Rhinolophus ferrumequinum: one gene and its partners. The protein of the gene in region 2 interacts with the protein of the main gene of each other region in a pairwise test. Links are inferred from orthologs where the notes say so. Each region holds a gene or a part of one and is shown on either strand. Other genes may lie near its edges.

Region 1 (7,504 bases), on a different chromosome or scaffold from region 2:
TGTACCTGATACTTTCACGTCTTCTTAAAATGTCTTAAACAATGGATGAGAAAAAAAGAATTTGTTTTATCCGAGTCACTAGCAGTAATTTTAGGATTAATAAGTACTTTAATGAAGTCTTTGAATCAGATTTAAGAAATAAATCCTATAAATATAATTTTCCTTTATAGAGACTTTATATTAATTCAAACCAGGAAAATGGAGATTATTGATTAAATTGAAATTACTAACATTTCCAAGATGATGTCAAGACTGTATTTATTCATTTCCTTCAAATTAACAACAAAAACAATTGTGTATAAAGTTTTTTCTACGTTATTTATTCAGGCAATGCATCTCACAATGGTCTTTGTGGTTTGATAAAGAAATAGATACAGCAATTTGTGAAATAAAACAAAAACTTTCTTTTAAAATTGTGCTTTATGAAAAGGCTATTAAAGTGTGGTTATCTCTGAGCACCAGGATTATGGATTATTATGATTATTTCCATTTCTTCACACCTCCTTTTCATATTTTCCAAATTCTTCATAATAATCACAAATTACTTGGGCAATCAGAAAAAGGTCTAATTGTTACATTAAAGTTAGGTGTCTATAAATTTAACACAGTGTACCTGACCTAAGTTAATCTGCTTGCACTTTCTATATGACATCAAGTAGTTCTCTTTTTCTCAATGACTAAAGTTTGCATACTTTATTTATAAACCGGGATCAAATGATTTGTATTGTGATCACATCGGTTCCCACCTCTCTCTATCCAAAATGATGAGACAAAGTCCACCCAATACACCCTGACAAGCAACATTTTAAATGTCATTATTAAAGTGACGATGCAGGCTTTTCATTAGAACTACAGAACCACAGAAAAAGGTCAAAGCAAAGAGAAGCTGACTGTTAGAAAAACTCCAGCTTCTTATACCTTCTCTTAGCCACAGTCACATGGTATGCAGCAAATATTTTTAGGTTACACTGAGAAAGCTTGAAAGTGTGTGCGTGAGAGAGAGAGCGAGAGCGAGAGCGAGAGGAGAGAGAGAGAGAGAGAGAGAGAGAGAGAGAGAGAGAGAGATTCTTTATGACAATTTAAGTTTTTATGCAAAGGGGTTGAGATCTTTGGGTGAAAGTTATTAAATATTGCATGACAGGTATATTGTATAACAGTCTATCATAATTATAGTTTGCTTTTAACCATCTGAAGACTTTCTGTTTTCTGATTTTAGCGTCTGAGCCTTGTAAATTATTTCTGACTCACTAGCTTTATACCCTAGGGGCAACTCACAAGCTCCATAAAAGTGTGCATATTTTTCTTAAATCTCTTTCCTAGCAAATACATTCATTTGCTTTTTAGCCTCACAATGTAGATTCCCACAGTGAAAAGCAACTAAATGACACTTGCCTCCCTCTCTTATATCCTCCTTTCTCTAAAAAAATATCATTTATAATTAAAAGTACACATTTGAAGACCACTTCTTTATTATAACTGGGGACCTTAAGCTGAGGAGGGAGTTGGGAGCAGGATGGTATAAACACTACTAGACCAAAGTACCCCCATTTTGGCCCAAATGACACTTTGAGGTGGATAGTTCTTTACTGTGAAGGGCTGTGCACTGTAGGATGTTCAACAATATCTCTGGCTTCTACCCACTAGATCCTGACAGTGCAGAGCTCCAATTCCCTGATGCAACCCCAAAAGTGTCTTCAAGATATTGCCAAATACCTCCCAGGGGACAAAACTGTCCGCCAATTGAGAACCACTGCCTGAGGCCAAAGACCTTACAAAATCAAGCTCTTTGTGCCTTTGCCAATTCAAATTGTTCCTTTGACCCTATGGTCAACCTCTAAGTACATAGCCACTCACCAATATGAAATACAGACAGTCATGGATACCCTCACACTCTTCATGTCCGTATGTGGCCAATTTGGATAGGAGGAGAGAAGCAGGCACTGATAACTTCCCCACCCTTCACTGACATGGGTGTTCATGCTTTAATATATGCAAGTTCATACAGTCTTGACCTTGGAAGCTCTAAAATGCCCTGAGTTTCTTTATGCACTAGCCACACTCTCTGCAACCCCATGCTCTTCTGTGAATATTGTTTCAAGCACAATTTTATTTCATTGAATATGTTTATTCTGCCTTGCAATTGTTTTTGCACTTAAATATAAAATTATGATCTACCCTCAAAACATGTATTTCCTGAAATTATCTTTGATTAAAACCTATTAATTAAAACTGAGGGAAGGTTATAGAATTAAAAAAAAAAAATCAAGAAACAAAAAAACCCTGCCTTCCCTAATTTATCTCACAACAAAATAACACATATGAGTTTTATTTTTATGCCTCCTAATATATTCAAGGGATGTTTATTCTCCAGGCACCACGTTGTCTTGGTGTTTGAAGCACCAAGGTAAATGGGCAGAAGGAATGATTTCCTCTGTGGAAGAAACATTATTAATAAATTCTTTTCTATGGAAAACTCTGAAAAGTGGATCTACCATTACTAGATTCATAATCTTAAGTAAGCACCTTAGTCTCTGCTGGCCTGTTTCATCTTTGGGAAAATGAGAATGATGATACCTACCCTTTAAAGCAGGGGTGTCCAAACTTTTTTCAACGTTTTTCACCAAGAGCCATTTACTGTAAAATACACAAACAGCCAGGCCACTCACTCGAGGTGAAGTACGTATTGCCTCACCTGGTTTACTTAAATAAACTAAATATATTTTTGGAATTTGCTGCGGGCCAATAAAAAATGGATTGTGGGCCGCAGTTTGGACACTCCTGCTTTAGGGTATATTGAATGAGACCATCTGTTTTAAGCTCTTAGCCCTGTGCCTGACATACAAGTGTTTCATAAGTATCATTTTCTATGCCACTTCTCCTTTTTGTTCCCAGCACTGGCTAAATAATTTGTGAGGTCCAGTGCAAAATGGGAATGCAGGCTCCCTCGTTCAAATAAGAATTTCAAGATGACAATAACAGATCATCAAACCAAGCATAGGGCTCTGTGTTGCTGCATAGGTGGCACACTAAAAAAGCCAGCTCTGCTTCCTCCCCTAAGGTTTTCAAGGTTCCACTTGTCTATTCTTCTACCAAATTAAAAGCCACTCTTTAATTTGACAGTTGACAGGGAAATAAATGAAATAACTAAAGAGGGCTTTATTATGTGTGTTGCTTTTCAATGCTGGCTCACTTTTACTCAAGCTGTTGAGTGTAGTGAGCCTATGGCTCTCATAAGGAAGCAGTTTTAATCTGCCATGGCATTTCCATGGTTTGTATCATTCTCAACATGTTGAAATAAAAAAAAAAAAAAAACCTGGGGGAAAAACCCATTAGTTTTCTACGAGTAATTGGACCCTTGATAGCCCAAGAGGCACTTAGTGGCCAATGAAGCACTTAATTCAAAAGCTCTTTATCTAGACTTATCAAATAGCATTCACAAAGAAAGCAGCATAGCTCTAAATCAGTGTCTTTGATCCCAAACTGGAGACTTTTAGGGAATTGGTCCAGATGTCTAAGAGTAAAGTATCCAAAGAGGAAGATTTGGTCTCCAAACCACTGAGCTCTGGTTCTCCTGTTATTCTTCTCCTTTCTGGATGTATCAACGTGTCCTTTACAGGTTTTTTTCAAGGTTCTCACATCCGTATTTATTAATATAAGAGCAGAATCTGTAAAAAAACAAAGTATGTTTTTGCATATATGTATATATGGGAGGAGAGAGAGAGAGAGAGAGAGAGAGAAATTTCCTCTCTTGAAACACAGAAGGCACCCAAGGCATCTTAACAGAAGGCAGAGACTTAACATTTATTGAGCATCTTTTAAGTGCCAGGTGTGCTATATACATTGGAATATTCAAAGTATATGCTAGTTTTCATGTATTCATTCACTTAATCTCAGGACATTTTTTATTTTTTTTTACAGTGGGAAAACTGAGGCTCAGAGTAGTTATGTAGCCTGCCCAAAGTCACACAGTTAGCAAGTAGGTGGGTCTGGATTGGCGATTTGATCTAACTCCAAAGCTCATGTATTAAAATCCTATTCGGTTTAGGAGATTACAAATCCAGGGGTCCAATTTGTCACAGTCTCTTTGAATCAAACAACGAACTGAATGCAATAAACTTTAACATACTTGCTAATCATGTTAGTTTACATGGCCACCTTGCTCTTACCATAATTTTCACCCTTTCCCCCACCCCCATCACCATAAATCGTTTGGTGTCTAAAGGGTTAGCGATTTTCCTAACAGTTGATCGCGAGAACGGAGTAAAGATAAAGAATGAAAATATGTGTTGTGGGACAAACTCCCAAGGCCTAAAAAAAACAAACAAACCATCTGTTTGGGATGACAATCCATCACTTCCGGCCTCGACTGGGCGAGAGGAAACCTCCGCACGTGCATCCAGGCGATTCCCAGCCCTCGCTTACCTCCGGGCAATTGGCTAGTCGGCCGCCGGGCCGGGATCATGCAAACCCGAGCGGCTGGGGTCGGTCGGCCCACGGTTTCCCTGGAGACCGGGCGGAAGCGGCCGGAAGCTGCGCTGCGGTAGGCCGCAGCGGGAGAAGCTGGGGGTGGAGCTAGCGGAGGAAGGCTTCCGCGACGAGGAAGAGGACGCAGCTCGCGCCATGGAGCGGGAGGAGGCGGGGGCGGCAGTCGGCTCGTGGGGTGCGCCGGTGCCTGAGGAGCCTGGCCGCCTCCCTTGGTGTAAATGAGGAGGGCGGGGCGGGCGAACGCCCGGGGCGGTGGCGGCGGCCGTTGGGGTGCGACCGTCCCCGCCTCGCAGGGTTCCTTTCGTTTTCCGGGCTCAGCCCAGAGGGCTGCCCTTCGCTGCCTGTTATTTTGTGGCTAAAGACCCCGAGAGGGATGGCTGCGCCTAGTGGGAGCAGGGTGGGCGCGTCACTTTGGCAGTCGAAGGTGCATTAGTAATCCCTCAATCAGTTTACTGAAAGCCAAAGAGGCCCCCGAGCGGTTATTGATTGCAGAAGTAGAGAACCTCGTCCACTTGTTAAGAGTTCGGGGCCTGGCCTTAGCCTGGGCTACAAGGACTGGCTCGGCACGGAACCGAGGGCAAGGCATCTCTGCAGTGGCCTTCTCTCTGGTGACCCGCTTCCAGCCTCTGGGCTCTACCTTGCTTGTATCGCCATCCAGGGCCCGGGGCCAGCGCTCACCTTCCCTGCCCTTTTTTTTTTTCTTTTAAACTTTTAAATTTTGGATTAAAGTTTTAGATTTACAGAAGTTGCAGAGATAGTTTTCCCTAACGTTAATATCATACGTCAGCATGGTGCATTTGTCAAAACTAAGACATTAACCTTGGCATAATATTAAGAATTAAGTACAAGCTTTCTTCACATTTTACCATTTTTTCCCCACTATAAATGTTTCTGTTCCAGGATCCAGACCAGAACATCACTGCATGTAACCTACCTTGTTTTTAAACTGGTTTTAAGGGCTGAAATCTCGTCTGTTTTATCCTCTCCCACCCAATTCCCCATGACATGGTCTATTTTTCAATCCAAAAAATATTTACTCATTCTTTAAATTTAGTGAGTATCTATTGATAGTCTATTATATGCCAGGCACTGTTACAGGGATTCAGCACTGAACCAGATAATCCTGCTTTCATATGGGAGCTGAATATAATCCTGCTTTGTGCAGTTTTGTATTTATGAATTTTTGAAATTTAAGGATATGCCACTTAGAATAATTTTAAAGTTGGTTGAAATCAGCGTTCACATTTTTCTGCTTCTTGCAATTTACTCTACATTTTACTCTAAACTTCCAAGTAGTAGGATTACCCATTGTATCTTCCATTGCTGATCAAGATTTCTTTCCATCAAGTTTATTACTATCTTGAGAAAAACACCGTTCACAAAGAAATGCTAAGTAAACAGGACTGAAGACCCTGCTGTAGATGGAGTTGCTCTCATGTCTGTAATTTTAAGATGCTTTGACAGATACAATAAATCCAGGAAAAAACTTTTAAAATCACTTTGCACTCTTTTTCTCAGTTACCGTGTTTTAAGGAACAACCAGTTGCTCAGAGATGATAAGCAGCTTGAATATGTTTGTATTTCTTTGCATATTGTGCATCAGTTCATGATCAAGTGGTGCCAGCAGGAAGTTCTTCATCCAGGGTTATAATACACATGGATCTGGATTGCTTTTACGCACAAGTAGAAATGATCTCAAATCCGGAACTAAAGGGCAAACCTTTAGGTAATTATGGACTTTGACAATATGTTCATTGTTTAATAGGATTAGCTACTCATTTATTAATGTTTATTGTGTTCTGATTTATTTATTAAGAAAGATTTTTGAAGCAGTTCTTAAGGTGCTTTATAAACAAAATCTTTGCTTCATTACCAGGTGTAAACTTTATAAACTTCATTTAATAAGTAGTGAATTTGACACAATATAGACAAATGAATAGATGAACAGAAAGACCATAATAAACTTTTAGTCTTTTTCTCAGTGTTTGAAATTTTACATTCCTTTTATCTCAGAAACAACCTCTTTTGTTACATTTTAATAGAAGATTTCGTCTATCCTCCCCCCCCCCTTTTTTTTTTTAAGATTTTTTATTGGGGAACAGTGTGTACTTCCAGGACTTTTTTCCAAGTCAAGTTGTCCTTTCAGTCTTAGCTGTGGAGGGCGCAGCTCAGCTCCAGGTCCAGTTGCTGTTGCTAGTTGCAAGGGGTGCAGCCCACCATCCCTTGCGGGACTTGAGGAGTTGAACCGGCAACCTTGTGATTGAGAGCCCACTGGCCCATGTGGGAATCGAACCGGCAGCCTTTGGAGTTAGGAGCACGGATCTATCCTCCCCTTTTTGAAATTAACTCTTGATTTGTGACAAAATAGTTGGATTTTGAACAGAACCCTAAGTATTCAGGGATATAGAGCAAGCTTTCCATAAAAACACAAGTATAAATAAAAAGCAAATTCTACACTGATAATTTACTTTTAGTAATGTTGCCTTGTTTTAACTTTATTATATCATAAATTGAAAAACTAAAGTTCCAAAAGTTTATTTTACTTGTGTAGTAAGGATTTAAAGAGCAATTTTGGTTCACCTGCTGCTACCCTTATGCCTAGTTTGGTTTTGATAAATCCTAATTCAACCTAGTTCAGTTGATTTACTAAAGAACCAAATTTTGGTATGCTAAGGTCAGTTTAGGATCTTTAAACTTTCCTAAGTGTGTCAAGGAATTAGGATTAGGGGACCTAAATTTTCTCCTAAAAGCATTTCAGTTAGTTGCCCTGTAACACATGATGCTCTGTAGATAATGCTTAATAAAAAGATACTGTGTAGTGAAGACAGGAATGAATGATTTGGGGAAGTGAGGGATGTGATGTTGAAAGTTTCTAGGAGAAAGCAAAATAGTTTTTCGTTTATACTCAAATACATGACTGCTTAACTTGGGCTGGTGACATATTAGTGTGAGTCCATATAATTTAGTTCTGCAATTAAAAAACTTTTTTTGGTTAAGGGAGTTAACAATCTGATTTTGT
Region 2 (7,717 bases):
TCAGAATGGCTATCATCAAAAAGACAAATAGTAACAAGTGTTGGAGAGGCTGTGGAGAAAAAGGAAGCCTCATACACTGTTGGTGGGAATGCAGACTGGTGCAGCCGCTATGGAGGGCAGTGCAGAGGTTCCTCCAAAAATTATGAATAGAATTACCATATGACCCAGCAATCCCTCTCCTGAGTATCTACCCAAAAAATCCAAAAACATTTATCCATGAAGACAGACACGTGTGCTCCAATGTTTTATTGCAGCTTTATTTATGGTGAACAAGACATGGAACCAACCAAAACGTCCTTCGATAGATGAATGGATAAAGAAGTTGTGATATACATACACAATGGAATACTATTTGACAGTTAGAAAAGATGAAATAGGACCATTTGTGACAACATGGATGGATCTTGAGATTTTAATGCTGAGCGAAATAAGTCAGACAGAAAAAGCAGAGAACCATATGATTTCACTGATATGTGGTATATAAACCAAAAAGAACAAAAGAACAAGACAAACAAATGAGAAACACTCATAGACAGACAATAGTTTAGTGGTTACCAGAGGGTAAGGGGGGCTGGGGGAGGTTGGTAGATGAGGGTAAAAGGGATCAAATATATGGTGATGGAAGGAGAACTGACTCTGGGTGGTGAACACACAATGGGATTTATAGATGATGTAATACAGAACTGTACACCTGAAATCTATGTAACTTTACTAACAATTGTCACCCCAATAAACTTTAAATAAAAACAAAAGAAAACCAATATGGCAATACCCATTAAGATTATAACTCCACAATGTTTCTACCCAGGAACCCTTCTCACAATAATAAATGCACTACACATAAGGGCATATGTTCAGAGAATCTTTATTGTAACACCATTTATGCAGCAGGGAAAAAAAGGGGAAAAAAACCTAAGTAAATGCCCGCCTGCTGAGAAAGTGCTGAAAAATGTATGGTGAAAAGGAGTAAACTGCAGGTATCCTTAACTGTGCTGGCTTTGCTGTTCTCTGAGTGTTCCTGGGAATGGCAAATTCAAATTTTGATAGCAGCGAAAAGGATTACTTTAAGGTTGAATTAGAGGAAGAAAGTGTGATTCTCACATTGGTTCCAGTTAGTGAGGAAACTAATGAAGAACGTGAAATGGAACCAAGCATTTCTTCAATCTCAGAAGACAACCTGAAGATTCCTAGGACAGATGATGAAGTTTATCTTCCTCAAACGAGTGAACAGTTCAAAGCTTGTCCAAAACCAATGCTCCCCTTGCCGACCATTTTGCCTTCAATTAATAAAGTGCGTTGGGACACTTTGCGGAACTGGTGCCAACAATTTAATTTGAGTACTGATGGCAAGAAAATAGACGTTTATCTGAGGCTCAAGGAACATGCATACTCTGAAGAAAAACAAAACATTCCTGAAATACTACAGGAGTCAAGTTCAAAGAAATGCAAGATGGTGACCAAGAAAGCAAGGAGTAAGAAAAGTTGTAAGATGAGTGAGAGAGAGCAAATGACCAACAGCGTTGAAGTGATAACTTCAGCTCAGGAAGCCATGTTGGCAGCATGGGCAAGACTTGCTGCAAGAGCCGTTCAACCTAAGGCTATGAATTCATGTCCCATTCCTGCTTCTGCTGAGAACTTTCTGCTGCAAACGTCTGGTGTCAGGTGGTGTGTGGTCCACGGCAGACCTCTCTTGGCAGACAGAGAGGGTTGGGTTCACCTGCAGTTCTATGCAGGTCAGGCGTGGGTGCCTGACCCTCCCAAGAAGATGATCTCTCTCTTCCTGTTGCCGGCCTGCACTTTCCCATACCCAGACCTAGAAGATAATATGTTATGCCCCGATTGTGTTAAGAGGAATAAGAGGATGATGGAAAGATTAACTACAATGAAGAAGTAGAAGCAACCTGGTTTGAACACAATCATATCATTCCTTTTGGATTGGCCATGTCTTAATAAAGAATAAACGGTGGATAGATAGCTCACAGATACATTGATTTGTATCCCAGTGATTGCTGTGCCCTGTCCTGGCCATCCTCAGTGTTGCCTGATGCCTGGAGTACAGATGTGAATGTCTGGATTCTGTACTTCAGGTCTGCCAAAAAGTGACTGCCCCTGCTGCTTCAGGTATTTAGCTATAACATATAGAATATAAGTTGGTTTTCTTTTAATTAATAGATTTTTTTAAGCAGTTTTAAATTTTCAGAAAAAATTGAGCAGAAACTAGAGTTCCCAAATTCTGTTCCCTGCACTCCCCCATTTTCCCTACTGTCGACATCCTGCACCAGAGGGGTACATTTATTGAACGTACATTGACACTTCATTATCCCCGAAAGCCCATAGTTTACATTAGGGTCCACTCTTTATGTTTTACATTCTATGGGTTTTGAGAAATGTATAATGACATATCCACCATTATAGTGTCATACAAAATAGCTTCACTGCCCTAAAAATTATGTGCTCCACCTATTTAACCCCTGACACATTTTCTGTATCCATAGCTTTGCCTTTTCCAGAATGTCATACAGTTGGAATCATACAGTTGCCTTTTCACATTGACTTCTTTCAGAGCAAAGTAAATTTAGGATTCCTTCATATCTTTTCATGGCTCGATAGCTCACTTTTTTTTGTTTTGTTTTAAATTAAAGTTTATTGGGGTGACAATTGTTGGTAAAGTTACATAGGTTTCAGGTGTACAATTCTGTAATACATAATCTATATATCACTTTGTGTGTTCACCCAGTGTCAGTCAGTTCTCTTTTCGTCACCATATATTTGATCCCTTAGCCCACTTTTTTTCCTTTTTTTTTAGCAGTGAATACTCCATTGTCTGGATGTACCATAAGTTGTTTATCCATTCACATATTGAAAGCCATCTCGGTTGCTTCCAAGTTTTGGCAATTATGAATAAAGCTGCTATAAACAAAAAAAAAAAAAAACAAAAAAAAAATGTATGGTATCTGCAGAACAAGACCTGTTATGCAATCATTAAAAATGTTAAATGACGGAGCAGCAGGGTGGCTCAGTTAGTTGGAACATGGGCTCTGAACAGCAATCGGTTCGATTCCCACGTGGGCCAGTGGGCTGTACCTTCCACAGCAAGGTTGAGGGACGTCCACTTGGAGCTGATGGGCCCTGGGAAAACACACTGTCCCCCAATAAGATCTTTTTAAAAAGTAATTGCGGTGTAAAGGGTTAAAATAATTGCAAAAACCGCAATTACTTTCAAAAAAAAAAAGTTAAATGAAAAATATTACTAAATTTTTTTTACACCTGAAAATGTAAGCACTGGCTCCATAGTAGGGAAACAGACTATCTCATCATATGCTGGTGTGGACATACAACCTTATTAGACTTTTAAATTTTTATGCCTTTTGACCCAACAGCCCAACTTCTAGGAATCTGTCCTACTAATAAATGGTATGACCATCTAAAGATACATGTGCAAATATATTAAATCACCTTGCACACCTTAAAGTAATACAATGTTGTATGTCAATTATATCTCAATAAAACTGGGGGGAAACATATATGTGCAAGGATGTTCACTACAGCTTTTATTTAATAAGACTTGGGAAGAACCTAAATGTGTACTCAAAATAAAATGGCTGAATAAATTATATGTCTACACAATGACTAACACAGACTTGAAAAAGAATGAGGTAGTTTTATGTAACTGAAAAAGATAGAAGATAGTCAGTATAAAGTATAAAAAGCAAACTGAAGATTGTCTATTCTTGAAATTTTTCATAATTAAAAAGTGGAAAAAAAAAGGTGGGGGAAAATTCGATGCCTTGCGTTTTTCTGGGTAAGAGTCTCAGAAGTCTGGATAGTTGAACCCTCTTCATCCCCAAGCCACCATACGTGACTTTGACCAGTTTTCTACCTGTACTGCTAATATACCCATTTCTTCTACATGACTCAGTAATTTTAAGCTAGTTGCTTCTGTTCTCCCTTCCTGATATAAAAACATTAAAGTGTGTATTTCTAACTTTTCGTCTCATTAAAAATGTTATCTCATTATTATACTTCATTTTTGCATGGTCCTGTGTTGGAAATCCCTTGGTACAAATCAACATTACAACTGATGACTCTCTCTCCAAAACAAAGCTAAAGAGGCTGACTATCCAGTTAGTGGCTTTCAAATTACCCTACCTTAGAATTGAGACGTTTTGTGAACTAGAACAAGTACTGTTGCTAAAATCCCTAATGGCCAAATAGCAATGAGGGAAAAGTTAATAAATGTGATTTTCTCAAGTTTAATCCTCTTCAATCATTGGCAACCTTAAAAAGAAAAGTGAACAAAAAGGAAACCAGTAAAGAAAAAGTAAACTAATTGTACTTAACATGTGTGATCAAAATCTTTATAACGCGCACTTTTTAATATTTTCTGCAAGTAAATAGTTTCTGGCTCCTAGGATGAGGTTAAATGCTGCACAGTGTAAATAACATCACAATTTACACAGGAACAAGTTGGGTCACTGGCCATTTCCCTCGGCGGGGTACACCAAAACTTGCTCCTTCCTCTCTTTCAGTAAGCATTCTGCATGCCAAACGTCGGGGGAGAGCCGGCGGGGCAAGCTGCCTACTCTACCCACCTTGGACTAACTCCTCCCCGCCCCCTTTACACCTTTACCCAGCACCTACTCCTGCCCAGCCCCAACTTTTCCCCTGCCCCATCACCCCTCTACTCATCGCTAGCTCCTCCCCAGTCTCATCACACCTCTTTCAGCAGAGGCTTCCTCTGCTTCATCGCTGCAAAACCACCTGCTGCGAAGCTTCCAACATCAGGAGAGGAAAACAGGGGACTATATTGCAAAAATCTGTAGTCTCCATACAAGCACCATCTGCTCTCGCGAAGAAACTCAAGTCACAGCCCCAAAGAGGAAAGAGCGCGCCTGGGCTCGCACATAGTTAACGGGCGTTTCGGGCGCGCTCGCGGCCGGGCCCAAGCAAGGAGCTGAGTATACAAAGGTGAGCAGTAGAGTCGCGGTACCAGCTCAATCGGGACTCCCAGTCCAGCGGGGGAGGTGATCATTTCTTTAAAGCTCGCATAGTAGAGGTAGGGCGAGGAGCACTTAAAGCCCACGGCTGGGAGAATGTACTTAATCCCTGAACCGTAAAGGGCTAACTCTAAACTAGTCGGAAGTGACGTGCCTGCTGAGACCCGCAGGTCCACCACGTAACTGGCCGCGCCTCACCTAGCCACCTTCTCCCCGGAATGGCCTGCAGAGGATAAGTGTAACTGAAAGTCCGCCGCCCGCCCTCGCCCCGCCCCCGTCGGCTCCCGGCGCCACCCGGGGTCAGCCGAGCCCAGCCAGAGTCCGAGCCGCTGCCGGGCCCGGAGAGCCTCGCCTGCCCGCGCCCGTCGGCGCCCTGCGGGCAATGGGCTTCAGAGCTCAGCCACGCGCATGCGCGGCCCTCTCTCCAGCGGATTCCTCAGGTCACCTGGACGACAACGTTTCAGCCACCTGCCCCTCCAGGTCCCTTCTCGCCCTTGACTCCTCCTGCAGATTCTCACCACCGGCCTCCCGCCTTCTTCCGCAGGCACCGCCAGGCCCTCCCGCGGCCACCCGCCGATACCACGGCTTCCACTGACACGAGCCTCTCGGCGCCGTTTCCGCTTCCGGCGAGTATTGTGTGTCGCGCTGCGGGGCGGGGGCGGGGGGAGGAGGAAAGAGGGAGGCAGTGCTCCGGCGGCTCCGCGCCCCGCACTACCGGACCCGAAGCCGGGAAGGTAGGTGCTGTCCCGCCGCCGCGCCCGGGCCCCGGGGCCTGCCCCGCCGGCCGGTTCCGCACGCCGCGTCCCAGCGCCCCGCGACTGCGTCACCAGCCCCCCGCACGTAACCACCGCTGCCTCCTCCCGCCTCGGGCCCGGGCGGACGTTTTGCCGCCCCGGCGACGTCAGCGCGTCCGGCGTTGCTTGGCTACCCCGCCGTTTCCCCGTCCCGCTGCCGCTCGCCTCCCCCGGTGAAACTCTGACGCGGTCGCCGCGGGTCTCGGCTGCGTCATAGCAGCGGGCATCCCACCTTCACGTCACACTCCTCCCGACCTGGACACTCATCCCTCCTTCCCTGCCAACCTCTCCCTCCTCTCCAGTACCCCTGCGCCAGATCTGACGGGAGAAGGAGCCGGGGGTGGGACCGAGTTGTGGACCACGCTCAGGAGAGGGTCGCAAGGTGGGACCCCGGACAGTGGTAGAAACAAAATGAGGACGTCCCTGAAGTTTGCCCTTCTACAGAGACACGAGGAACAGAGGGAAAGAAATGACCAATCCAGAGGCGCCCGAGGCCTCACTATGGCTGTAGCTCCAAGCCCTCTCCATACTCTCCTGACCTTTTCCCCATTTCTTTCACACCACTTCTTTGCCAGTCAGATCCCTCCTGGTCCCTAACTGCGTACAATTCAACTCACCCCAGGTGAGGAGGACACCTAATTCCTAGAATATTGGGGTAAGGGCAGGATCACTACTCACAGTTGGAGTTCCATAGGTGGAGAAAAATCATCTAACTGAATGGTCTCCTGGTTCAGGAAAGAAATTGAGGTCCAAATTAGTTACTACTCCAAGTTAACACATTTCACGTGTGCCATCAATATATACAGGAATAATCATTGTTAACCCAACTCATTATAGGGGCACATAGACCCTCTCTCAGCACATAGACATACTAAATTTCTTTCCTTCTGTTGGGACCCTTGGAGGGGAGGGAGGGTGGAAGGTGGGGTGATAGGGATAGAGAAACCAACCATTTCATAGATTAAAATGGTGACATTTTAAGGATGGAGTAGGGGACCAGTCTTCTGCTTTTATAAATGCTTTATGCATTTCCAACTCTTTTGAGGCTTCACTTGGAGATTTTGATTGCCTTCTTTACTTTTCATTCCCAACCACTCCAAAACCTATAGTTGGAGGCACAGTATGTCCAAGGAATTAGTTATCGATAGCTATTTCATAAGACTCCAGTCCCTGCAGGATATTTAAAATAGATTTTTTCATCCCTCTTTTCAAGAAGTTCTCAGCCTGGACTCAGTAACACACTCTTTAGTATAGTTGCCATGAGTTTATCACTTTTCGGAAGTTCCAAATGTACAATTGCACACAAATAGAATAGGATGTTGTGTGAATCATTTCATTCCAAGAGGAGGGCACACTTCCTCTACACTAGTCTGATAAAAGGAAGAAGAATTTCAATCTTTCCTGAAAAGAAGGTTGTTAGCCTTGCCTAACTAATTCCATTTATTACTGTTTGAAAGAGAGAGAGAATAGTGGCAGAGAATCAAGCTTGGGCTCCAATGGACTATTGTAATAAAACTCTTCTGTAACATTAAACTTTAAAATATACCTAATTTAAGAGATCTTAATACTTTGACTTTAATGGCATTTTGCACTTTCGCAAACTCCTTTCTCATCTATTAGAAAAATATGTCACACTAGGGATAAATTGGTCTGGCATTATTGGTTTTAAGATAGAAGTGGTATGAGCCTGGATCAGGAGAAGTATACTGAGCTAGAGTTGAAAGAAGCCTCCATTTCTAACAAGAGAAAGCAGAGGTGAAAAACAGAAGAGATTGGCAGTTGTGTGTCAGTTTGCTGAAGATGAAAAAAAATTAGATCGATAGCTGGGAGTCAAAAGTTTTGAAAATGGAGAAACAAAAGAGAGGTTGAATCTGGTGCAAGAGAAGATGTGAAATACCAAAATGGGGCTAAATGTGGAGTTAGGAT
Region 3 (7,923 bases), on a different chromosome or scaffold from region 2:
AGTGAACAAAATAAGAACTCTTCGGCTGTGTTCAATTAATTTCACTTTATTATTTTAACCCACATATTTGTTATTTTAAAAAATCTTAAGAGATTTAATTCCTTAGCAAATGGCATGGGCCAAAAGCCCGTCTAGAGGTCCTAAGTGCCAATCCAAGCATCACAATAATAAGGCAGAGAACCACACAGAATATGCTATGTAAAAATGTCAAAACAACTGGAAACCCTAGGAGCACGGAAACTTGGAGAGAACTGTTGAATAATCTACTTCTATAATACACTTGTCTTGATTAAAATTAAGCATTAAAAAATGGTCAAAGTAGCTGAAACTCAAAAACTGAATCCTAGGCAAGGTATGACAGGAAGATGACTACAAATGATTCCAAAACAACAGGTAACACAAACCTTATAACATGAATTAAGTCATTTTCACATTTTACAGTCTTTTGCAGAAATTTCCCAAATCCCTTCAAAGAAGTAATCCACCTAATAAGGAAGTTTTTCTCAATATACACACAAGTATTTGCCATTCTAAAATAGTGATGCTTGCACAACATTGTGAATGAAATTAAATCTGTCATGAAAATCTTAAATCTGTCATGAAAAGCATCAGAAGGCTGTATTTTACTCCATGTTGATAAAAGAATTTTTCATAACTCAGTATGTCCAGATTAAAACTACTAACCACTATTATGTTCGAAATGCAAAGGATCTGTGTCAACACCCTTAAGAAAAAATCTTTCCCTTCCCAACAAAAACCTAATGTAATAAGCAAGAACTATTTAACATGTTCTTGAAACACTCACCTGAGCTAATTCCTTTGAACCACGATTAACTTTAAACTATCATGACAATAATGAAGAATAAAGGATTCCATAATTAAATTCCAGAAACAATCCTTTTATTCCACATTGCTCCTTCCTCCACCCCAGTGACATGAGGACCATGCCTTCTCTCCAGAAGAAAATAAAGAGGTTTGGTGGTTGATGTTCCTTTTTCCTAAACTTTAATTTTAAAAGATATAGCACAGCTTAAGGTCCAGAGGACTCAGCTCTCAAAGAAACTGATACTATAGCTATCTAACTAGATACCACTGGTAACAAATTACCAAAGGCTAAGACTTTATGCTTTTAAAAGCCCATGCTAATAATGCCTGGCTGGTCATAAGTCACACTACCAAATGGCTTAAATAAATTGGCTCAAGTTCATTACCAAGAAAAGAAAAAATGTTTATTAGAATTTTTAAATGCGTCTGAAAAAATAATAATCAAAACTAACCATCACCTATTACAAGCACTAATATACTTGTGTACTATTAATGCTCACCTCAATGTCAGGAAGAATCATTGTGACCCCCAATTTGACCTTGACTCAAGTGTTTTAAATCATGCCCCTTTTATCTTCTTGCTCTGTTGTCACTGAGGATCTCACTGTCACTGTCCCAGCAAGTAATAATGCTGACTTGAAATGCACTATAAAGTAGCATTTCCATGGACAATTTTTCCAAGAACTACTTCACTGAGCTTTCAAACCATTTGCCCAGAATCTAGTCATACAAGATACCCATAGATTTTAATGAAGTGGCAAGGTTAAACATCCTGTAATTCAGAAAATTCATCAGCCAAAAGTTAGAGGTACATGGTTTATTGATGGAGCTTAAGCGACAGGGCAAGCAACAACTAACTAAATGTTAGTATGTTAAGAAAAAGTGGTAAACTTTTTTGTAAACCCTTTTATCGCCAAATGATTTAGTTTAGGAACTTATAAATCTGCTCCACATTTTCAGACATCTGACATAAGGTTGCAACCAAACCAACACTGTCATCTTCACTATTCCTAAAACTTTTTTCTTCTTTAACTAAAATTCTAACCTGCACACAAGCTACAGAATGGACTCAGCAAAAGGTCATTTTAGTAAAGCTAGAATTACTATTATTATGCTGGTAGACTACAACTCCGACTGAATTAAAATACCTTTCCTCAGCAAACTGCTATTTACAAGACAACGACGTGCGTTCCGTGTTAAAAAACTTTTCAAGTCCTGAGCCTAATGGGAAGTCAGACTCTTATGCATTTGCGCTTGTATCCTACGTGTTTTCTTTTACGTAAGACAGATAGGAATTTGACTAGCCCACCCCGACAGCAAGCTGGCCCAACACCCTCCTGCTGCAGCGCGAAGCCACATTTTACTCGGGCAGACCGCTTCCCCACCCCTCGTTAAAATAATGCCTGTGGCCACTTGAGACTTCCCCAACTAAGCTCCAGAAACTTGCAGGTTTAAATGGCCAAATTGGAACCAACCAGGGCAGCTGTCATCTGAAACTCAGGAAAGCTGAGACCAGCCAACTCTGCTGAACAAGGAAGGGTGCCGAGAGATGTGGCGGGGCCCGTCGGAGGGAATGCATGAGGCTCCCCTCCCCAACCCCCCAGCAATTCGCTTTTCTGCAGCCCCAGCGCCGCCATCCTGTTCCTGAATAATTAAACGCGCTGGAGACGGAGTGAGGTGGCCAAAGAGGCAGTTTCGGGTCCGAGTTTCCCGAGCCGAGGCGGTGGGGTCAGGAGGCCGAGGGCTACATCCCCGGCGCGCGGAGGACTTTTCTCCGGGGCCGGGGAAAGATGGGGGCGACCCCGCGGCCGGCCGAGTGGCCGGAAGCGGGGCGCGGGGAGTGACGTGGAGGAGGGGATGACAAAGGGGCGCTGGGGGCCCGGCCGCGCTCCCCGCGAGCCCGGGACAGGTGGCCGGGCCTGGACGGGAACAATGGGGGGCCGAGGCTGCCCCCTGGTGCTCACCTACCTCCGGTGCCCTCCGAGTTCTCGTTGAGGCTTCCCGAGGAGTCGTGCTGGGCGCCCACACACCCGCCCATGGGGGCCCCTGGCGCCTCGTCCGCCACCTCCGGGCGCTCGTCCGGGCCCGCCGCCGCCTCAGCCTCCTCAGGCGCCGCCGAGCTCCGGACAGGCGCGCCGCTCCGCTCGCCCGCCGCGGCCCAGCCTCCGCCCCCCTCGCCGCTCCACCCACCGTCTTGGCTCGGCCCCTTCCTCCGCGCCCACTTCTACCTCAGCCCCCTGGCCGCCCGCCCCGCAGGCCTGGCCCGCGCGCCGCCCTCGCCTCCGGCTCGGCCTCGCCAGGCCGGGGCTGGCCCATCCCGGGCGCGCCGAAGCGCCCGCCTCGCCCCTCACAGCCCTGCACACCCGCGTCCCGGCGAGGCCCGCGCCCGCGCCGCCCGTCCTCCAGGCCCCATCGGCCGCCGCCCCGCGGCGCCGCCCTCCGCACCCGCGGCCTGGGCTCGGTCGGGCCCGCCCGGAACCGCCGGGGGGGCGGAGCCGTGGGAGGCAGCTCGCTGATTGGCTGCGGGAGAGGCCGCGAGCGGAGGAGGGAGGGGAAAGAGGAAAGGAGGGGAAGTGAGGGTATCTCTCAACCCGAGGAAAAGAGACGAAGGCGGGGATCGGTCTGGGGGAAGAGGCAGGAGAAGGAAGCAAGGAAGAGGAAGAGGGGAAGACGCGAAAGAAGAAAGGTTAGGAAGGAGAGAGAGCAGGAAAGGAAGCACAAAAGTGAGAAAGAAGTGGAAAAGGGCACAATCTAGTTTCTTGCCTCCCCTCGGACGTCAGCTCTTTTTCGGGTGGGAGGGGGCACGGAGAAGTAGTAATGGAAGACTCGCTGGCGGGGACCGGGGCGGGTTCCCGAGTAACCGGCGGAAGGGGTCCTGGCTGAAGGCTGAGGTCCCAGCACCTTTTGGGTTTGTGTCGAGTTCAGTGGATTGGTACCCCGAATCTGGCCTTCCCATTGCCTGCCCCGCCCCTATTCCCCCTAAAATCACTGTGCCCCATTATTAGATAGAGAGGCAGTCATTGTGGTTGCAAGCTGAACTCGGATTACAGAGGCGAGGCATCCCGTGTAGGGAGAGATAAAAGCTGACCGTAGTTCAAGGGGTATGGGTTCGTTTCATTTTCAGAAGATTGATTATTCATACACAATGCTACTTCCCCTCTCTTTAGGTATCTTAAATCGTCTTTAGAACAACGTGAAGCATAAATAAATAAAATACCCTGCTTTTTCTAAACTAGAATTTGGTACATTGACCACACCCAGCATTCTTGGCGACTGCTATCCCAATCTAAGCCAAATTGTTAATAGTCCCTTCAGGATTGTGCTTCTTGCTATGATGCCTTAAAATTTTTATCATCCTGCTTGGACCTTTCTCAAGCTTATTTCTGCCTAAGAGCTGTTTTAACTATCTGCTCCATTTTTATATTAGACTTTTTTTAACATCCTGGGTCACTTTTTGCTTAGCCTTAAAAAAATTTTTTTTTAAGTGAAATACCTAAGGAAGAGACTCTCTGCAGTTTGGAATTTGCATTTAAATATATTTTCATACACTGCTGGTGGGAGTGTAAATTGGTTCAATCTTTTTTGCAAAGCAATTTGGCAAGGAGGTTCAAGAGCCTTTAAAAATGTTAACCCACTTTGACTTGGGATTGTTTCACATGTGGGAATCTAGTTCACAGCAATAGTCCAAAATGCAGAGATTCCTGTCCTTGCATTCATTTGATAATCAGATAAAAATGAAGGCTCAACAAACAAACAAAACCCTATACTTATATTTAAGCACAGAAATGCCTTGTGAGAAACAAGTCTGCTCTATTAGATGTATCCTGATGAATCAGTGTTGTCCCAGGTAATCATGAACCAACATACAAAGGAGCTTTGAACATTTATATGGACATTTCTGAGTTTGCAGAGGTTGCTCTGAGATTCAGGCCCTATGCACAGAGCCTTCTATCTGATCATTCTCAGCTGAGTATTCACGTAGGCAGACACATCTCTTCCCTGAAGGAGAGAAGCTGCATGCTAAGTATCTTCAAAGGGATTGCTTTGTCCTGAATTTTGCTCTAGAAATTGCTGAAAGCAAGGCTTCCACATGTCTATTAAACAGATGGTAGGCATCCAAGTGATGAGTGCTTTCTGATGAGCACTGTGGAGTTGGCACTAGGAAAAGAGCAATCTCACTGAGAGATTCTCAGCTATGGATGTTCTCCACCCTGCCTTTATCTTAGACCAGGGACACAAGTTTCTGGGAGACTGAGTAATGTGGCAGTTAAGGGCCCCAGCTCTGCTATCAACTTCCTAGGTTGGAATCTGAATTCCATCCTGTTCTGGCTATAGGACCTTAAATTTCTGTATAGCTCAGTTTCTCACCTGTAAAACTGGGCCATAACAATGCTCCAAACTCTGGTGGGGGAGGGTCTGTTAAATTTCCTCTATACATCTAGCTTCATGGGTCTAAACTTCCTGCATGGCCTAATCCACTTAAGACCTTCTGTAGAAACTGCATTCTTTGTGTATGGGTGCACGCATGCGTGTGCTTTTCTATTTTTTATATCTTTATTGAGATATACTTCATATGCCACATAGTTCACCAACTTAAAGCGTACAATTCAATTGTTTTTGGTATATTCACAATCAATTTCAGAACATTTTTATCACTCCAAAAAGAAACCCAGGCCTATTAACAGTCATACCCCATTTCCTTCCCAACTCTCAGCCCCAGCTCTAATCTATAATCTATCTTTTGTCTCTATAGAGCTGCCTCTTCTGGATATTTTATTTAAATAGAATCCTATGTCGTCTTTTGTGGACTGACTTCTTTCACATCGTATAATGTTTTCAAGGTTCATCCATGTTATAGTACGTATCAGTCCTTCACTCCTTTTTATCGCTGAATAATATTCCATCATGTGGCTAAACCACATTTTGGTTATCCATTTATCAGTTGATGGGCATTTAGGTTGTTTCCACTTTTTGGCTGTTATGAATAAAGCTGTTATGAACATTCATATACAAGGTTTTGTGTGGATGTATGTTTTCGATATATACCTAGGAGTGGAACTGCTTGGTCATAGGGTTACTCTGTTTAACTTTCTAAGGAATTGGCACACTGTTTTTTCAAAATGGCTGCACTATTTTACATTCCCACCAACAATTTACAAGGGAATATAAAATAGTGCAGCCGTTTTGAATATGTAGAGTATCTCATTGTGGTTTTGACTAGCATTTCCCTAATGACTAATAATGCTGAATGTCTTTTCATGTGCCTATTGCCCAGACTGACATCTGTTTCTGGAAAAATGTCTACTTAGATCCTTTACCCATTTTTAAATAGGATTATTTTTCTTTTTATATTGAGTTGTAAAGGTTCTTAATATACTCTTAGTACAAGTCCCTTAGCAGATACATGATTTGCAAATATTTTTTCCCAGCATTATGGCTTGTCTTTTCTTTTTTTTTAACTTTTTAAATTTAAGAGTGTTTTTCCAGGACCCATCAGCTCCAAGTCAAGTAGTTGTTTCCATCTAGTTGTGGAGGGCGCAGCTCACAGTGGCCCATGCAGGGATCGAAACGGCAACCTTGTTGTTAAGAGCACCGGGCTCTAACCAACTGAGCTAACCAGCCGCCCCTTTTAACTTTCTTGATAGTGCCCTTTGAAGCATGAACGTTTTTAATTTTGATAAAGTCCATATACCTATTCCTTTATTTGGTTGCTTGTGCTCTGGAGCTCGTATCTATGAAACCATTGTCTAATCCAAAGTCATGAGGATGTATCCCTGTTTTCCTCTAAAAGTTTCATAGTTTTAGCTCTGACTTTTAGGTCTTTAATCTACTTCGACTTATTTTTTGTATATGGTGTGAGGTAGGGGTCCAACTTCATTCTTTTTCAAATGTGAATTTCCAGTATCCCAGCATTTGTTGAAAAGACTGTTCTTTTCCCCCATTGAATTGTCTTGGCACCCTCGCTGAAAATCAATTAGCCATAAATGTTAGATTTTTATTTCTGGACTCACAATTCTGTTCCATTGATCTTTACGTCTATCGTTATGCCAGTACCACGCTGTCGATTTCTGTAGGTTTATAGTAAGTTTTGAAGTCAGGAAGTTCTTTTTTCCAAGATTATTTTGGCTATCGGGGTCCCTTACATTTCCATATGAATTTTATCAGCTTGGCCATTTCTGGAGGAAAAAAGAAACAGCTGGAATTTTTTTTTTTTATCATTTCATCCATTTGAAACAGCTGGAATTTTGATGGGAAAAATGTTAAGTCATCTGTAGATTAATTTGGTAAATATTGCCATCTTAACAATATCAAACCTTCTAATTCAGGAATATGGATGTCTTTCCACTTGTTTATGTTTCAAATTCCTTTCAATGGTTTTTTGTAGTTTTCAGTGTACAAGACTTGTACTTCTTTTAAATTTATTCCTAAGTGTTTCATTTTTTTGCATGCTATTATAAACAGCAAATTTGCTATTTATAACTAGATTTGTTTCTTAATTTCTTTTTCAGATTGTTCATTACAAGTGTATAGAAATAAATGGAGTTTTGTATATTGATCAGGTATCATGTAACCTTGATAAACTCACTTATTAGCTCCAATAGTTTTTGCTTCATGTATTTTGGGGCTTTGTTGTTAGTTGTTATATGTTTGTTATTTCTTCAGGGCCTTCTTCACTTAGCTAATTATCCAGGGAGAATTAGCAAGGGAGAAGGATGAAGGAGAAGTAATAAGAAGGAGGGAAAAAGAGAAGGGAGAATGAAGTCCAGTGGCTGTCAATCTCTAGTATGGATGTCAGTCACTTGGGGAGCTTGTTAAACTCCCAGAGATTCTGATTCAGTAGGTCTGGGGTGGAGTCCAGCAACCAGCATTTTTAACTCACACATCAGGCATTTCCTGGTGCAGTTTGGGCCACAGATGGAATTTCAAAGAACACAAGTCCTTGACAAAACTCAATTCTCCCCATTCCTTGCCAAACTATTTTTACCTTAGTCTCTTTCATCCTCCACAAATGGCACCATAGTCCATCCAGTTGCTCAAGCCCCAAACTTAAGAGTTGTTGGTAATTTCTCCATCTTCTTCACCTCTCAAACCCATTCC
Region 4 (7,648 bases), on a different chromosome or scaffold from region 2:
AGTATTTTGAGGGGAATAAATGGCAATGTGTCTTTGACTGTAATAATTTTTTTAATTTAAACATTCACCATATTGTTTGATCACACCTCATAGCCTTCCTTGTTGTCAGGAGTGCTGGCTCTGGCACTAGACTGTCTGAGTTCAAATGTTGCCCCACCAGTGGCTGTCTGATTTTGAACAAGTGCCTCTAAAAGATCTATTTCCTCATCTGTAAAATGGGATTAACATTTTCCTAAGGTTTCAATAAGAACGCATGAAAAAGGATTTCTATGGGCAAATTCTCAACAACAAACATTTCTTAGATATAACTGGAAGTAAAGGATATGAATTATCAAACCTAATTCTCTAAGAATTTTAACTTTCCAAATATAGAGGATTTATACTTTAATTATATACCTACTAATTCATCTTTTGTGGAGACATCTTTTTGAGAATGTGATAACTCCAAGGACTCTTCACCCAGAGAAAAACGAGTATACAGGCATACCTAGTTTTATTGTACTTCATTTTATTGTGCTTCACAGATGTTTATTTTTGTTTTTTGTTTTTTACAAATTGAAGGCATGACCCTCCACCAGCAAAAAGATTCCTGCTGGCTTTACTGCTGTGGTCTGGAACCAAACCCACAATATCGCCAAGGTATGCCTCCATTTGTTATATTATGCATATATTTCTGAGGTTTCAAGGACCTTCTGAAACATATGCATGAAATTAAGAATGCTTGATATAAACTCTTAAAATTGCAAAGTTGAGCAGTGGATTTAAGAATTTTCAAAGCAGAGAATCCAACTATTGAATTATATACACTGTCATTTACTTTTTTAAAACAGATTTTGCAAGTACTGTGTTTCCCCGAAAATAAGACCTAGCCGGACAATCAGGTCTAATGCGTCTTTTGGAGCAAAAATTAATATAAGCGATATTATATTATATTATAACCAGTCTTACGTTATAGTAAAAAAAGACACAGTCTTATTTTACTATAAAGTCTTTAGTAAAATAAGACTGGGTATTATAGTAAAATAAGACTGGGTCTTATAGTAACTTTTGCTCCAAAAGACGCATTAGAGCTGATTGTCCAGCTAGGTCTTATTTTCGGAGAAACACCGTAAGACCAGACATCGTGTTTTCTAATTTCTATCTCCTTTACGCAGAAAATTTAAATTAGAAACCTAAATTTTTTTCATGCATCGATTTCAACTCAGAAAAACTGGTAGAAACCTGTATTTCTAGCAGTTTAAGAATGAATGACTCAAAGTATAACATGCAATACCCCTGCTCAACAACTATGGGAAAAGTTCTCAAGTCAGTCTAATGAAATATGTACTTTTAAATATAAAAAACATACCAAGCTAATTAATTCCTATGCTTAGAGTCTCATAATAAAGTTTTATTTTTTTTTACAGCTGGATCTATGCACTAATATTACATCGTTGTTTTTTTTTAACTAATCAATATATTTTTTATTCTGTTTTATGTTATGTTTGTTATATAGCCTGATGGTGGAAACTAATTGTTTTCAACCTGCTATCGAATAATTCCAACCTGGAAATATATTGCTATCTCAAAGCAAAGGTTTTGTTTTTCTTTTTTAATTGTTTGGTTTCATACTATAATAGTTGACTAACCAACTCATACCCATTACGGAAAAAATAGTTTTTCGTATGCATTAGCACGATATTCCCACAGGAAATAACCATTTTTAAAGTACTGGAAGTCGAGATAAGGGTTCACATACATAGTAAACATCCTTTCAATCAGGTTTTATCAGATTATTTCAGTGAAAGGGAGACCTAATACTGCAGACCTCCGAATTCAATGGTAAAAATCAATGAAACGAAACGCAGCATCTGAGGATCAAACACTGCCCAGGTTGCCAAATGACTGTTGGTCAGAAAGGTCACATCTGCTTTTAAAACCTCACCGTAATCGTGAATGTTTGCGATGCCTCCGCATCCCGGTACAAGAAAATAAGAGGGCAAACACACAACACAGGAGCATCTCTGGTTCCTTCCATGAACGAAGGGCTTCCAGCACAGGGCGTGGGGGAGGGGGGAACGGGTTCGAGAATAAGCCAGGAGAGGCCCGCAGCCCTGGAGACAGCGCCCGAGGGTTGGAGGCCCCACTCGGCAGCGCCCCGGCGTTGGGGGCTCCAGTAGCGGAGACCCCGTTGGGGGGACCCGGGCCAGACCCCCATTCCTGGACCGCCAGGTTACGCCCCCACTGCTTACTAGAGGTAATGTTCAGCCCTCTGCTCCCTCATCCCCCGAAATACCCCAGCATCGCTCCCAACCGCCAGCCGCTGGTGACCCCGACCCCGACCCGACCGCGATGGCGCCCTCTCCAGGTCGCAGTGGAGGACACACACCAGGCCACCAGCTCTGATGGCAGCGGCGACAGCGACTCGGGGCAGCGCGGTCCCGGGGGACGACGGCAGCTGGGCCGCGGCCTGTCCCCAGGGGCAGCGGGCGCAGGGCCGCCAGCGGGCAGCGCCTCCGCCCCGCACGAACAAAGCGGCCCAGGCGCGCGGGGCGCGGGTGGGGGGAGGCAGCAGGGGGCACTCACCGGGGGCCGGGCGGGAGCAGGCGGGCCTGGCCCCCAGTGGGGACCGCGGCGGACCGGGGCTCCGCACCGGGGGCGCGCTGGCGACCGAGAGGGGGCGACGGGAGCAGCGTCCGCAGCGGGGCCCGGGAGCCCCGCTGCGGGGGACGGGGCCGCGGGCCGGGCTTGATTCGGCGGCCGCGAGGTGCAGGAACCGGTCTGCCGGGGCGGGCAGCGGCGTTAGGCGGCCGGGGCAGCGACGCCGCCGCCTTTCCCTTCTCCTGCCTGGGTCCCTGTTCCCCCGCTTCCTCCTCCTCGCCGGGTCCCCGCCGCCGCCTCAGCCTCGGCGCTTCTCCGGCTTCTCCTCTCCATCAAGGCCGGGCCGACCCGCAGGGACCATCCCGGAAAGTGAGGGGTTGTTGCCGTTCCCCGCAGCTGTTGGTGGCCATCTTTAATCCTCCTCCTCCTCCTCCTCCTCGTCCTCCTCCTCCTCCTCCTCCTTTCTCCACCTCCCGCCGGCTGCCTGACTGACTGACTCTGGATCCTCCTCTTTCCCTTCCTGCTCCTCCTACTGAGCCGGCCGCAGAAATTGCAGCCGCTCTTCCTCTCCCCTCCTGCCTTTCCTTCCTCTTTCCTTACTTCCTTCCCTCCCCTCTGCTTCCCTCTTTCTCACTCTTACTGGCAGGATTCGCCCCCTTTTGCAGGCAGCGGGTGCTGAATCCTCTAAGCTTGAGTGTGGCCCACATTTTCACTCCTGTCCCTCGCCTCCCCATCCGGACGCACACACCCGGCTTCCTTCCCCTCGCCTTACACTCAGCCGCTCGAGTTTCCCTCTCCCAACCCCCTGCTCCTCTCCCGCGGTCCTCACCCTCTTGAGTTCCAATTTTCCCTCAGCCTCAGCTGAGAAAGGACAACGGGGTTCCGCTCTCCTTACCCTTACACCCATTTGCTGGATGCTGTCAGACTGCGATGGAAGAACGGGAGACTGTGTTAATTTCACTCTAGCTGGAGTACAAAAGGACTGCCCACGCTAGCTATTTTACTATGCAGCTTTGAAACTCCTGGATGGTGTCGTGTTGGCTCCGGTGCATCATTGGACCCAGGAGTTAAATAGCCCAGTCTCAAATGTTGCCTTCCCTCGGTGACCTTGAGCCGGTCGCCTTAAGATTTTAGGGGTTTTCTTTCTTTCTTTTGTAAAGGGCATTATTCATACCTTTGCCGTTCTAACAAACACAGTGTTTAGACTAAACGAGCATGCTTTAGTAAAACTAGAACCGCCAAGTGATCATCAGTTTGTCCCTATGTTGTTTGTTCCTAATCAATCCAGTGGACAATTTGGGGCAGGCTTCAGTTCTGGGAATGGAGGCAAATTGAGTCAGCAGTTATTGAGTGGACTCCCTTAAACAGGCTTAGAGTGGGGAAGTGGTAATATCGTTCTTATGACAAACTTGTTTTTCCTAACACTGCAATCTACCCAAGCTGGTGAATTTCCTCTAATAAAGATGAAGCAAGCTGGACTTGCTGTTTGCTTCTCTTCAGCCACTCTGCCTTTGGCCAATTGGAACCGTTTGTAAGGATTCACTTACTGATCACTACGATATTGGGCACTGCTAACAAATATAGGCGATATTAGATGTGAGCGCTTTGTGAAGTGGGGGGCGTCACAGTTTCTGCATCTTTGGGACAGTGGCTATCATAAAAAAGCACCTTGCTCTTTCAGAATAAGATGACTTGATGTGTTCAGAGGTTATTTCCTTCCACAAGCCAAGTATGAGGAGAAATGTTTTAAAATGTAGTTTTGGATTCCACTCCCAAGTGAATTTTTAAGTTTAAATATAAAATTCTGTTATTACAAAAATGTCTTTCAAAACTCTTTGAAAAGATGCCAAAACAAACCTAAAAATATAACTTAATAAAAAATACTAGTATGCTTTGCGGGGCTGGGAGGTGGGGTTCTAATCTTTTTCTTTGATGCTTAGCCTGCACCCAGTTAGGTTCCAGATCTCAGTTGCCATCTTTAAATACCAGTAATTCTTCTATTTGAAATCAACAACCTGCATCAGCATCTAAACCCAAATAAAGTTTTTAACACAGCTTTATATAATATGTTTTGGAATAAATTATAAAAACAAAGCATGTATATGGTGTGGGAGTGTGTGTGTATGTGTGTCTGCATGTGTGTTTTCTTTTTGGCCTTTCGGTGTTTATTTAGATTTTGTGTTTCTCCAGTCTATTACTAGACAAAATTACTACAAACTTCTTAACTCATATTTCCTTATAAAACTATATATTTGCAGAAAAAATAAAAAAGATTGGATAACATGAATACAGAGAGAGTGAATAAATCAGTTGATGTCTTTTAAACACTGAGACCAGCATGCATTCTAAAAGGAGAGTTTTCAGTTCAATGTGAGGTTTTACGAATCTTATCATTGTGATTTTATTTATACTGAAGAAAGAGGAGTTCTACATTTTAAAATTCATGAATCCTTTAATTATAAATTTTTTGTAGAAAGAGATACGTTGCTATTAAGTTCATAGGTAGATCAATGTGCAAATTCAGCCACTTCTTGTTAATGTCTTACTAACTGAAAATCTCACAAAGATTTTTCAGTGATATATAAAAAAAATGTAGCAAGATTTTTCGATTTTACTGAAGCCATATAAACATAGACATGTAATAATGGATAGTATTCAGAGAAATCAGACCCTTTGCATTTACTTTTTAGCAGCTCTGTTTCAGATCTGTCATTATTATAGCCCTTACCTTTTTCAGTCTTTGTTGCCAGCTAAGTATAGTTTCTCTGTCATCTTAGGGTTCAGGTATAATAATAATAATAAAAAAGGTCAGATCAGGTTTTTCTGTAACATTATTATTTCATATATATTCATTCTCAGATAAACTCAAGGTCCTCCATCATAAAACAAAGAATTATATTAACGTGGATAAAGCCTTTGTGCAGAGGCCAGATGGAAAGGGACTGAGGCATGTGCAGCAAACTCCTCTGGGAATAGAGGAGCAAACATGAAGGGCTATTACTAAGCAGAGCCTGGTCCCCAACTTACACTTCATGAAAAAGGTGTTTGTGGAATAACAAGAGGATATCTGTGGTAATAAAATCCATATTTGTTTTTAACATAATTGAAAATTCTATGAACATAAATAAACAAAGCATAACATTAAATGAAGAAAGGTGGAGGTAAAACATTCATGAAAATATCAAAAAGTAAGAAGAAGAAAATAAAAAATAGAAAAAAGCAATTTTGGAAAATAGGGTAAATAAGTATTGACAATTTGCTGTTTAAACAATTATTTTCTTTGCATTTGCTTTTAAGACTAAAGAAGTAATTTAAACTTGGGCTGGTAGAATTATTCCAGAGATAAGCATAAGTAAATTATAGAATCTTAAAATATTTATTACCAGAATATGGTGTGCTAGATTATGCTGGAACACACACAAAAATGAATTGAAACTTGGGTTGACTACTATATTTAAAATACACATCCACTTTCCCAGGCTATTAGGTACAACAATAGAAATGCCATATTGTTTTTCCTTGTTTGAAAGAGCCAGATGGAAAATAAACTGGGCAAGCAAATGAAAGTCTCTGGGGATCATGGGAATTGAATGACTATAAAAACCATATTCCAGGCAAGAATATAGTCTTAGGTAAATGTTCAGTTTTATTCTCAGAATCTGTTCTTTTAGAAAAGACAATATTTTTCTCAACGTCTTCCTCTTTGGATGGACTGACTAAAATATCAAGTGAATAATGACAAGCCATAGTTATCTGCCCTGTTTGAAATTTAGTATCATTTTTCACTCCTCAATTTAGAGAACTCCTTATAATTAACTGATGAGCTGTCCTCAACACAGTGCCATTTAGAGTCATTACTGCACTCTAATTGAGGAGAAATGCTTTTAGAAAGTTCCAATTAGAGACTTTTTTTGTCCTTACATTCAAAAAAGGTACTGAAGCATTTGCTTTGTTTTTTTTTGTGGTGGGGGGGAAGGAGGTTGTAGATTGGTTATTATTTTGTGTTTTTATTTAAGTAAATAATACGATAAAGCTTCTTTAAATTTTGAAGAGTAACATGAAGACATGAGACAACTGAATAGTAAGTTTTGCTTTTGCTCATCACAATGATCGTAATTATAATAGAAACAGGGTTTTTTGAACACTTTATTATTAATGAATTATATTTCTACTTAAAATTTGAAGGCCTTCTTGATTTTCAATTCCTTCATATTTCTTTATGGAGAGTTCAGACTTTTAAAACCAGTATCTTGAGAATGTTCTAGATTTATTCCACTCATCCTAAAATTTTGGCAAAAAAAAAAAATTCAAATGGCTTATGGTCACTTAGTGTATATTGTGTGGCACTCTGAATAAAACCCAGATCTCCTGACCCTCAAGTTCGAAAACTTCAGAGATGAAAGGATTAATCTTACAGATGGGAAACTGACGCCTAATAAAACTTTGACCACATTAGTTTAAATATAATTTAAATTTGATTTTCAGAAGTACTGTTCAACATTGACTTTGCTCAGAAATAAAGCTATAAAACAAAGTAAAAGCAACTGAGTTTTCCTGTTTTTTACAAAAATGAGAACAATTGTTTTCAGTAAAAAGAAAATTGGAAAAAAAAGTCCAAATTGACTTCAAAAAGTATGATTTTTTTTTATATATTATTCATGGGTCAAAAAGGGTAAAGTTAACTCTCAAAAATACTGTATTATTTAATATTGTGAATCTAAATTACAAGAGCCTAAGGACTCAGGATTCTGTAGAAAACTCTATTAGATAAATGAAGTAAAACATTGCCATCTGCTGGCCAGAGTGAAAAAAGTAGTTGATCTTTGATACACCTGTAAGATAAAGGAGTTCAAGAAACCACTATTAATTTATTCCACATATCTTTTAATAGAGCTAAAACGTACTATATTGGGTATGTAAAATTAATCAGTCCATTATACAGAAATTTTGGATTATAGTCCATACTAGCATGTAGTTGTTGTTAGTATTATTTAAAAGCTGGCCAACAGTTAAATCTGATCATGTCAGTAATGTAGCCGTATTTGGCTAAAACCACTTTTAGTTTTAT

Evidence for each region.
Region 1: the proteins of TRIM39 (region 2) and POLI interact in binary tests that used the Homo sapiens proteins (3 or more experiments, as listed by UniProt). The two-hybrid records come from large-scale screens. The link is inferred for Rhinolophus ferrumequinum from reciprocal best matches to the Homo sapiens genes TRIM39 and POLI.
Region 3: the proteins of TRIM39 (region 2) and UBTD2 interact in a two-hybrid assay, tested with the Homo sapiens proteins (2 studies listed by BioGRID and IntAct). The link is inferred for Rhinolophus ferrumequinum from reciprocal best matches to the Homo sapiens genes TRIM39 and UBTD2.
Region 4: the proteins of TRIM39 (region 2) and WDFY3 interact in binary tests that used the Homo sapiens proteins (3 or more experiments, as listed by UniProt). The two-hybrid records come from large-scale screens. The link is inferred for Rhinolophus ferrumequinum from reciprocal best matches to the Homo sapiens genes TRIM39 and WDFY3.

Annotation. Positions count from the first base shown.
Region 1 is NC_046302.1:44,050,947-44,058,450, forward strand, and holds the start of POLI (DNA polymerase iota), read left to right. Parts: upstream 1-4,495; 5' UTR 4,496-4,620; coding exon 4,621-4,699; intron 4,700-6,003; exon of another isoform or gene 6,004-6,088; coding exon 6,089-6,211; intron 6,212-7,504. UniProt on the Homo sapiens protein: Error-prone DNA polymerase specifically involved in DNA repair. Plays an important role in translesion synthesis, where the normal high-fidelity DNA polymerases cannot proceed and DNA synthesis stalls. Favors Hoogsteen base-pairing in the active site.
Region 2 is NC_046286.1:1,119,254-1,126,970, forward strand, and holds the start of TRIM39 (E3 ubiquitin-protein ligase TRIM39), read left to right. Parts: upstream 1-4,717; 5' UTR 4,718-5,437; exon of another isoform or gene 5,438-5,541; 5' UTR 5,542-5,623; exon of another isoform or gene 5,624-5,731; intron 5,732-7,717. Other genes in the region: developmental pluripotency-associated protein 2-like, read left to right, coding at 1,025-1,894.
Region 3 is NC_046307.1:38,257,339-38,265,261, forward strand, and holds the start of UBTD2 (ubiquitin domain-containing protein 2), read right to left. Parts: upstream 3,004-7,923; 5' UTR 2,864-3,003; coding exon 2,794-2,863; exon of another isoform or gene 2,790-2,793; intron 1-2,789.
Region 4 is NC_046288.1:39,505,547-39,513,194, forward strand, and holds the start of WDFY3 (WD repeat and FYVE domain-containing protein 3), read right to left. Parts: upstream 3,018-7,648; 5' UTR 2,566-3,017; intron 1-2,565. UniProt on the Homo sapiens protein: Required for selective macroautophagy (aggrephagy). Acts as an adapter protein by linking specific proteins destined for degradation to the core autophagic machinery members, such as the ATG5-ATG12-ATG16L E3-like ligase, SQSTM1 and LC3.